2 linked regions of the Caenorhabditis elegans genome follow. The protein of the gene in region 1 purifies or fractionates together with the protein of each later gene. This does not show direct contact. Each region holds a gene or a part of one and is shown on either strand. Other genes may lie near its edges.

Evidence for each region. The genes of interacting proteins can lie anywhere in the genome.
Region 2: the proteins of K07A1.10 (region 1) and K07F5.14 fractionate together in Caenorhabditis elegans (co-fractionation; one large-scale study listed by BioGRID). This does not show direct contact.

What each region holds. Positions count from the first base shown.
Region 1 is NC_003279.8:9,614,132-9,618,787, forward strand, and holds K07A1.10 (Large ribosomal subunit protein mL64), read right to left. Parts: upstream 2,203-4,656; 5' UTR 2,187-2,202; coding exon 2,104-2,186; intron 2,052-2,103; coding exon 1,797-2,051; intron 1,450-1,796; coding exon 1,170-1,449; 3' UTR 1,061-1,169; downstream 1-1,060. Other genes in the region: ate-1 (Arginyl-tRNA--protein transferase 1), read right to left, coding at 12-78, 600-683, 844-946; putative histone-binding protein rba-1, read right to left, coding at 2,475-2,534, 2,585-2,771, 2,830-3,084, 3,145-3,296, 3,339-3,779, 3,827-3,970; putative histone-binding protein lin-53, read right to left, coding at 4,272-4,656.
Region 2 is NC_003282.8:9,859,461-9,864,812, forward strand, and holds K07F5.14 (NUC153 domain-containing protein), read left to right. Parts: upstream 1-2,760; 5' UTR 2,761-2,763; coding exon 2,764-2,988; intron 2,989-3,102; coding exon 3,103-3,211; intron 3,212-3,263; coding exon 3,264-3,757; intron 3,758-3,806; coding exon 3,807-4,130; intron 4,131-4,415; coding exon 4,416-4,532; 3' UTR 4,533-4,607; downstream 4,608-5,352. Other genes in the region: npp-1 (Nucleoporin Nup54 alpha-helical domain-containing protein), read left to right, coding at 138-407, 646-827, 884-1,063, 1,114-1,507, 1,602-1,780, 1,831-2,028, 2,076-2,285; K07F5.16 (J domain-containing protein), read left to right, coding at 4,735-4,815, 4,864-4,965, 5,028-5,147, 5,251-5,352.

The DNA.
Region 1 (4,656 bases):
ACTAATCCCACCTTCTCCAGCCCACATCCAGTAGCCCGGAATAGTCGTTGACAGTCATACTGTGTGCCCATGCTCCGCCTGTAAGCAAACTTTCAACAAAAAAAAATTTCAAACAAAAATTAAGTAAAAAACTATAAATATAACTGGAAGAAGAGCTGGAGAAGGTGTCGGTTGTACTTTAATTTAAAGTTAGAATTCGTTTACTTACGTGCTCCAGCCAGCCTCTGCAAACCACATAAAGTTGTCCGGTGAAATTGTGTGAATTACTAGTGCTGAAGAAACATGCGGACTGACAGGGCGAAATCGGTTATTTCACTAACATTGTGAGCCTTTAATCTTTAATAGGTACAGTAATCCCGGTTATTTTACAATTAAATTCAAGTTTTCAAACCTTTTTTTTTCGAAAACGTATTAAATTACAAAAATAAATTGAAGCTCAGGAAAATAAAGTGAAAACAGCAAAATCTGAGTGAAAATGTGATTACTGTACTTTTTAAAGGCGCACATGTTTGGAAAAGTTTTAAAAGAATCGCGACTGGGTTATAATTAGACAACTTTATCAGAATTTTAGAAAGTTAATCTCCAATAAGTACTCATACCGGTCGTCACTGACGATTCACTGGACACTTCTAACTCTTCTTCCAATCCATTTGTCAAATCTTCTTCTCCTGTTTCAGCATTCTCTTAAAGACGACAATATAGAAAAGTAAATAACATTAAGCAGTTTGAAAATTGCAGTATACAAATCAAGTTAAAAGTTTTAGGAAATGGGAAACAGTAGTTTGTTAGTAAAAAATCAGAATTAATTTCAAACAACAACAGAAATTAGGAAATCCGACTAACTTTTTGCGGAACGAGCTGGAGTTCGTTCGCCGCGATCGTTTTTACAATATCCACAACTGGATCGTTGATTGGCACCGATGAATTCTAAAAATGTTGGATTCATCCCAGCTGAAAATATGGATTAATTATATCGTCAAAAGAAATCTTTAAATGAGGATTTCAAATAATAGGCTTGACTACCATGGCAATAATTGAAAGGTAAAATGAGCATTGGTTTTTTGAAAATATTTATAATGTTGGAAGAAAATAAAAACAAAAACAAGAAACTATATCTAGAAAAAGACAAAAGGAAAAACTAGGAAAAATTAAGAAATCTGACAAATATATTATCCCTGAACGTTCTCTGCAAATCGTTTCTTCTGAATTTCGTCCCGCTTTGCCATTTTCACAGCCTTCTTCTCTTCTGCTTCTTTTTGCTGTAGCATCACTTCGAATCTTGGATCTTTTGGATCCATCCAATATCCAAAGTATTCTTGAATGTCACGAATTCGTTTTTCAAGTGCTACTTCCTTTTCGTCTTTCTCTTGTTCTTGTTTAACCAATGAAGCTTCATATTTTGCAAGTGTTGCAGGATACTTTTTGAGATTTTTCTCGAGTTCAGCAATTCTGAAAATGGATTCAGATGACATATTTGTAAATTTTTCAGGCATTTTTGTGTAAAGAATTCGCAAAGACTAAAATTTCAAAAATGTCTTAAAAATCGATAATTCTATTTTTAATTTTTTAAACATATAATTGTCCGAAAATTTGACAAACGGTGTTTCAAATAAAATATTGAAGAAAAAAATCAAGGAAAGCCGATTTCGTGCATGTCAGCCACTTGCACGAAATTCAAAAACAATTAATTTTTGCCCTATTTTCGCAAAATTGAAGCAAAATTATCGAACGATTCTAAATTTTTTAAAGTTATGTTTTAAAATGTTGCTAATTTTGAAATTACAATTAAAGTATACCTCGCTAACTCTGATTCCCTCTTCTTTTTCTGTAGTTCTTTGTATTCTTTCTTAGCATTATTAAATTCTCTGAACAATCCAATGGCTTCTTCTTCCTCAATTTCTTCAGCTGTTGGGAACAGCTCTTCAACTGGTACACCACTTTTTAGACCATATTTTCCGAATCTTTCACGACGAGATGCTCGTTCACGCTCAGAATCAAATTGAACCGGTGGCATCCCACCAGCAGCAATGATTCGATGACGGGGACGTAGACTAAAAAAATGTTTTTTTTTGTTTTTTGAACATGCAAAAAATGAAAACTCACAAACTAACATCAACCTTCGGAGCGATTTCCTCACTTGAATTTGTTGCAAAACTTCTTACCAAAAGTCTCCAATTTCTCAACATTTTCTTTCTGGATAACCTTGAAATATGTTTAATCAATATATTCCTTATCGTAAGAAAATAAGCAATGTAAACCGACTAAACATGGTTTCGCAAGTGCGCCCCATTGTGAACACACTATTTTTCAAAGTAAATATTTAGTGGCAGAGAAAACCTGAGAAATTAATTCTGAATAGATGAACACAATATGAAAGAAAATGAAAAAACGTTCATTGATAGGAATGTGATTTTTACATTCAAAGATCAGAAGTGAGAAAATTAGTAAAATTCGACAAAGTGCAATTTAGACGATTAAATCATTTCGGTCTCCCATTTTTCCGACGAAACTAAACTGTTTGAAACTTCCCACACCTGAAAAACCATTAAATAGTTATGATTAATTTTTTGAAAATAATTCTTGCCTGTAATGCATTAAATTCGTCGCTGCTGCAAATAGTCCATGGGCGGTTGGGATTCCAAGAGAAATCTGCAACTTTTCCAGTATGCCCAGCGTGAATAAAAATAACTTCTGGTGGAACAGAATCAGATGATGCAGCTGATGAAGACGATGGGTCTTGAATTTTAGAAATATCCCAAACGATAACCCGACTGAAATTTTTGAAATTTCATAGGTTAAACAAATACAACTTATTAGGAAAAAACTTACTCATCCGATCCACTACTAGCCAGAACAGTTTCATAATGCGGGCTGAACGATACTTGAAATATTTCGTCGTTGTGATGTTTCAGCGTGTACATTTTTTTGCGCATATTCCTCATATCCCACAAAGCAACCGTTTTATCAACAGATCCGGTTGCTAAAATGTATTCGGAAAACGGATTGAAAGTAATACAATTAACTTCTGCAGTATGTCCGACGGCTGTGAGCTGTGGCTTTGATTGACGCAGATCCCATAGGTTTCTAAAGACGTGAAAATTATTTTGAAATCTCGACAGAATGGTATGATGTATTTATACTTACAGTTTTCTATCATCTCCAACAGATCCAAAAACGAAATTATGGAGCGCGTGAAAAGAAACATCCTCCGCATTTGATGAATGACCTTTAAACTTGCTTTGTGGCACTATTTGACCGGAAATGGTCTGATTCGCGTTTATATCCCAGTGGCAAATCTTAAAAAATGTATATTTATGTATATCTTTTGTTAGAAATACCATTCCGTCATCGCCGGCAGTTAGCAAATGTCCCTCTCTGGTGTTGCTCCACGACATTCCATATCCTTCGCCTTCATGGCCTTTCAATCGCAATTGAGGTCGAAATTTGGTGTCTTTTGGTTCAGATGGGTGCTTCGTGTAGTCGAAAATATAAACGTCATCAGAAGGACCTCGACTTGCAATAATGAAAGGATTATGTGGCATGTAACGTGCCCTATGAACTTCTCCTGGATGGTTGATTTTAATCTCAGTATCCCATTTTGCAGCGCTGCCCTCTCCATAACCTCCGAACTCTTCACGTTCCGAATCCCATTTAGCGTCGTCGAATTCTGGTGTGTCTGTCGTTATTGTGAACTTTGAGATCATGAGATGATTCTGAACTCCTCCACAAGTATGTGTTCCATGAATCATTCGATGCATCGATGAATCCGAGTTCTCTGTCTTAAAAAAATAATGAAGAAGGCGAAATCATATTTACCGATTCTTACTTTTGTGACATCAGGCATCCATTGCACTGATAAAGAAGGCCACTCGACCTCTTTTGTGACGACTGTATCGTAGAGATATGGAACATTTTTCTTCCAAATTCTATGTTCTTTACTCGTTTCTTCACACGATTCAGCTTCACTCATTGTGCTCTGAAATTGCCTGAAATAACAAAAGATACAACAAAAAACCAAAAATATCACAATCTGAGCTATCACAACAATCACGTTAACATAATATTTCAAAACAGTTATCTGACAATGGTCATCGAATTTATTTCAGGTTCAACAAAATATGATCATATCTCAAGGTAACATTTTAACTTTAAAAACTTAGTTGGTGAAGAATATGCGTTTGAATAAATGGTAAGATGAACAATTTGTTGAGATGCAAAATTAAAGAAGGATAGAAGTTAAATACAAATAATTTAAGCGCGTTTCACGTATTTTACTGTTGTCTCTCTACCACATCGGCTGGAGTTTCTTCGTCAACTTCGTTGTATATGTTATCAGCCATTTGCCACACTTGGAGAATATTGTCTTCTGACACACTGCACACAACCCAAGGCTCGTTCGGGTTCCACGAGAAATCGCTGATCTTGGCGGTGTGCCCACCGTGAATAAACAACAGCTCTGGTGGACCATCTTCCGCGTCTTCGGCAGATTGGTCTTCTCCAATCTTAGATAGGTCCCACACATGAAGACGTTTATCAGTACCGCTGGATGCAAGAATAGTCTCGTTGTGTGGACTCCACTGAACTTGGAAGATTTCATCACGATGTGATTCAAATGAGTGAAGTTTCATTCGTAGATTACGTAGATCCCAAAGAGCG
Region 2 (5,352 bases), on another chromosome or scaffold:
AGCATCTCAAGCTCCAGCCCCAGCAACCCAGAATGTTAGTTCACCAGCCCGTCGCAATTTGTTTGGAGCACCCAATGACGCTAACCGCACGCTTTTCACAAATTCTCCGGCATCTGGAACCACTTCTGGAACTTCAGGACTCTTCGGAACATCATCAACGACATCTGGAGGTCTCGGCGGTATTGGATCCACACAACAAACTGCCAAATCACCCGTTGCCACAAGATTGGCAGCATTCAAATCAGGAACTTTGGGGGCTGGTAGTCTTTCTGGTAATACTCCAACATCTTTTGCCACACCATCTGCGTTACCAGGAACTAATGCCCCACAGTCATCTTTTCTATCACCGGCAAACAACTTGAATGTGGCTCCAGCAGCTTATCGTCCTCCCTACTCAACATTTGGAGGTTGGTATTCATCAACTTTGTATTAGCTTTTCATATTTCTAGAATTGAGTAGACTTGGTGGGTCAGATCAAAAACCGAATAAAAAAAAAAAAAACTAAACCTAATATTAAATCTTAAAAATAATTAATTTAGATATGTCTAATTAGCTTTAAAACATTGCTTCAAGTATTTTATCGTGAATCTGGAATATAATTGTCTAATTAACGAACTTTGATAATTTTGATGGCTCAATTTTCAGGATCGACCCCATTCGGAGCAGCGTCGACTGGAACAGCCGCGGGATCAACGCTTTTTGGATCGAGTACTGCAAAGCCAGCTACAGGCGGATTTTTTGGTTCCAGCTCAGGGTCTACTCTTGGTGGTCTTGGAGCAACTCAACAACAACAACAGCCTGTTGTTCAGCAGCAACAAGTTATTCAGGTAATTAAATGAATCTTAAGAATATCTGAGCGCTTTTCCAAATAAAATTTTTTCAGCAGTATCACCCATTTGTGAAAGCTGTCGGAGATCCAAAGCTCTTTGGAAATGATAATGATGGAGTTGTTGCTAAGTTGAATCAAGTTGCTGCCGGTTTGGGTGTCGGAAAAGCTCCATACAAAGATGGAAATCAGCTTCTATCGTTTTCAATGGAAGGAAACTTGTTTGAACGATTTGTTGTAAGTTTATTTTATAAATCACTGAAAACTTGCACAGTGTCACGTTTCAGGGAATCGGATACAATCGTATTTCGGAGCGAACCGACGATGAGGGATTTGTAACTTTGGTGCTGCGTCATCCTATTACAAACTTGAACACAGAAGAACGCCGTGACAAAATTCTTGAAATTATCAAAGCTATTCTTGGTGGCGGACCAAATGTAGAAGTTCGATATGCTCCTGGTACTTCGATGAGAACACTTTCTGATGGATGCACAGAAATCTGTATTATCGCCAAAGAAGGCGGATTTGTTGCAGGAGCTATTAAACTTGCTCAAATCCTCAATGATGCTCCAAAAATGACCCAATTAGAATCGCAGTTGCAAGTGGATAAAACAAGGGTTCTTCCTAAAGTTGGAATGTCGAAAGCACAAAGAGATAGATATTTGGAGACAGTTCCTGATGGTTAGTTTACTCGTTATTTTTACTATGTTTATCATTTATTAACAAAGATTTTCGTTTTCCTCCCTCGCATTGTATCAAATTTCATTCATTTCAGGAATCGATGAGCGTATTTGGAGACAAGCAATCAAAGAAAACCCAGCTCCAAACAAACTTCTTCCTGTTCCAGTACGTGGATGGGAAGCATTAAGAGACAGACAGAAGGCTCAAGTTGGCGAGTCGAAACTATTCCACGAGGCAATTAATGCATTGGGAAATCGTGTTGAAGAAGCTAATGTAAGTTGTTATAACTTGATGAAAGTTTACAAATGTCATACATATTTCAGCATGAACATGCAGATGCAGTTGTTAAGATGGAGATTATTCGTAATCGCCATAAAACTCTCTCGTACAGAATTGTTCGTGTTATGCTTGCACAATGGATTGTATCAAGATATTCACGTCAAATTGACACTGATGAGGATGTAATTGAAGCTAAAGCTGATACACTTCTTGCCCAAATGAATCGTCATAATCAAGTGAAGGTGAGAAAAAATTATGATTTAATTTTGTATAAAACAATTAATTTCAGTTTTATGTCGACAAATTCTACGAGATTTTGGAATCAAAACCGGATAAACTTCAAGAATCAATGTGGAAAATGTTTGATATGACAATTGAAGATGAACACTATGCTCGTAGAGTGCTTACCAAATTTGTTAATATTTGCTCTGGCCTTTACGAGTCAACACATCAACAAATCGAAAGTCTTGAAGCTTGTAGAAGGGCTCTAGAAGGATAATTTATTTTTTAGAAAAGATTTTCTGAAAATCTTTTTTTCAGATTTTCTCGTATTAATTTAAAAATTCGCTCATTTCTTTTGTATCATCATTATTTTCTTTCAAACTCTGACAGGTTTCTGGTTATTTCTGTTTCGACCTAAGATGTGTGGCAGAAAATTGTTTTTAAAACTTATACATATTGAGCAAAAAAGCTCGCTTTTTTCTATGTTCGCCTGTCATCACGAGTACATTTTTTCATAAAATATGCCTCATTCTTGGTTGTAACTGTTGATCTGACCTCCTCAAATTGTTAATTGTCTTATTTCACACACTGTTTAATAGATTGAATTAATTCATCTCAAACTTCTATCTAGAATAAATTTGATCTCCATTTTTCTGTTTGAGTTTTGTCAAATAACGGTTGTCTCCCGTTCGAATTTCTGCGATTTTCAAATAATTAGAATCACATAAAAACTATTGCAAAATGTATCTCAGAAAATGGACGATGAAGACAATGATGAAAAGAGACGTCAACGTTCAGATGAAGCTCGTCGAGCCGCGATGAGGCAAAAAATTCAAGATCAGAGAGAAAGAGATCGTCAAATTGCTGCTGACATTGCTAATGTTGACAAAAAAACGACAAAACGCATTGTATTTGAAGATTCGGATGATGGGGATGATCAGGATGAAGAAACAGAAAAAACAGCCGCGAATGGTGAAAAGGTTGGAAGTTTTTCAATTTTTTGAGATAAAAATCTCTTATAACAGCAATTGCCCGATTTCATAAAGTTGTTTGCTGTAAAGACAATACTCGTAAACTAAGTTGGAATAATTCAGAAAACCTCGCGCAGTTCAAAACGTCCAAAACTCTTCGATTCTGAAGATGAAAACGATAAAGATGAGGAGGAAGATTTTGAAATCAAAAATAGACACTCTGGTCCTAAAGGTATTGTCTAAAATTAAAATAAATTAAACCAAAACTATTTTTCAATTTTTAGGCGAAAAGCTGATGCACCTAGAATCACGTTTCAATAGTGATCCCCGATTCAAATTGGACGACAAGTTTGCAGAAAGTGATTCTGATGAAGATGGAAATATGGAGCAGAGCTCGGAAAAGCAAGAAATGAAATTAGAAAAAGATAAAAATCGAGAACTTTTGTCTAAAATTCTAGGAAAAAGTGTCGAAGAGAAAAAACCAAATACTATAGAGTCTTCAACACTTAAAGCTCGACCATTCACTCGTTTCGATCCTGAAAATCCTGAGCATTTGGAATGGATGAAAGCTTTTGAAGCTTCGAAAAATCCACAAAAAGTCAAGAAAACTGAAGAAAGTACAAATTCGGACGAAGATGGGAATGGAAGTGACGAAGGAGACGAAGATTCAACTGAAAAGAAAAAGGAAGAAGTCGTTGAAAAAGACGAGGAAAGCGGTGATGAGAGCTTTGAGAAAGCTGAAATCTTTTTCAAAATGGATGACGCGTTTTCAGCTGAAGTGAGTTTTCAACAAAAAAAAACATTTTTCACACAAAAATTATTTTCAGATGAAAGAACGAAAAGATGGTGATGATCCGTCAACTGGAGGTTTCTCTTTTTTATCAATGATTGGAAGAAAATATGATGACGAAGCAGTTGAAGATGATGGAGAAAATTTAAAGAAAATAGAACCAACACAAAGTAAAGCCGAACCGTCTGGAAATGTTGACAAAATCGAAAAATCTCTACTCAAAGTGAAAGTTAGCACAAAGTTTTTCGTCGATCCTCTGTCGGATGAAAAAATCAAAAGTTTAGCGGCTAATTTCAGAAGAACTCAAACAGTGGAGAAAGTTATTGATAAATGGGCACCTCATCGAGATGCTATTTTCAAGGTGAGTAGTTTTTTTTTTGAGCCTGACCGACTATTGAGCTCTGTTTTATTATTTCAAGCGAGTCTTAATACAAAAAAGATTTCAAATTGTTTTGATTCAGAAAGTTATACCAATTTCCAGTATGATCAAATAAGTCCACCATCTTAATAAATAACAAAATTTTCCCTAACTGTCTGATTCTCGTTACGCATACACAATCTCATTCTCAATCTTTTTGCGGAAAAGTGTCATTATTAATCGATTTTTCTTTCTTCTTCCAATATAAATTATTCATACATTTTTTAGCTCTGGAAGAAACAACGTCGTGATGCAGTAAAAAAGCAGAAAGATTCATTTTTCACAAATGGAAAACGAAAACGGAAAGCTGATACAGGAAACGAAGATGCTCCTGAGACTGCGTGAAATGTTCAAGATCTAATAGTTATTCAATTGTTCGTTGTTGTTTTTGTTGATTTTCAAATGTTTGTTATAGTAAATACATATTTTCAAATGTTTTGATTTTTTTGAAAACTTACTCTGGTTTAATTTCCGATGAGAATACCTTTTACATTTTTTATGATAATTTTTGTTAAACTATCATAATATTTCAGAATTCTTCAGCGTAATGTCATTTTCGGATGTTTTGGATGCAAAACCAAAAGAGCCAAAGCTCTATCGATTGCTTGGGTGTGATGAAAGCTCTTCGGTAGGTTAAACTTTAAAATAATATTTTCATAATTTAAGTTATATTCAGATAGATCAAATAACTGCCGAATATCGGGCACGGGTTCGCGACTGCCATCCGGATAAAGTGAAGGAGCACAACACGAATTCGACTGAAAAATTCATGGAGCTACAGGGAAGTTTAATAAAATAAATTAATATCAATAAAACGCACAATAATTGTTGTTACCTCTTCAGAATGCATATTCTATTTTAACGAGTGATTCTCGTCGAAAAACTTACGATTCGTGGCTTCATTCCCCGTTTCCAGTTTCTTTTGAAGACTTCACAAAGTCTCAGGACACTTTTCAGATGGTAATTTTGGCTCCGATATGTGTTTTTGAGTTTTTTTGGTTCGGTCCTTGTGCTTTTTTGTTGAAACTTTTAATTCTATTTAAAAGAAAATAAAAAATTTCAGTCAACTCACTGGGCAGTTCCAAAATCTCAACCATCTATTGCAGCCAATCAACCAGAAAAGTTGTCTCAAAATTTTAAATCTGAAAAATCTGAAAAATCACGC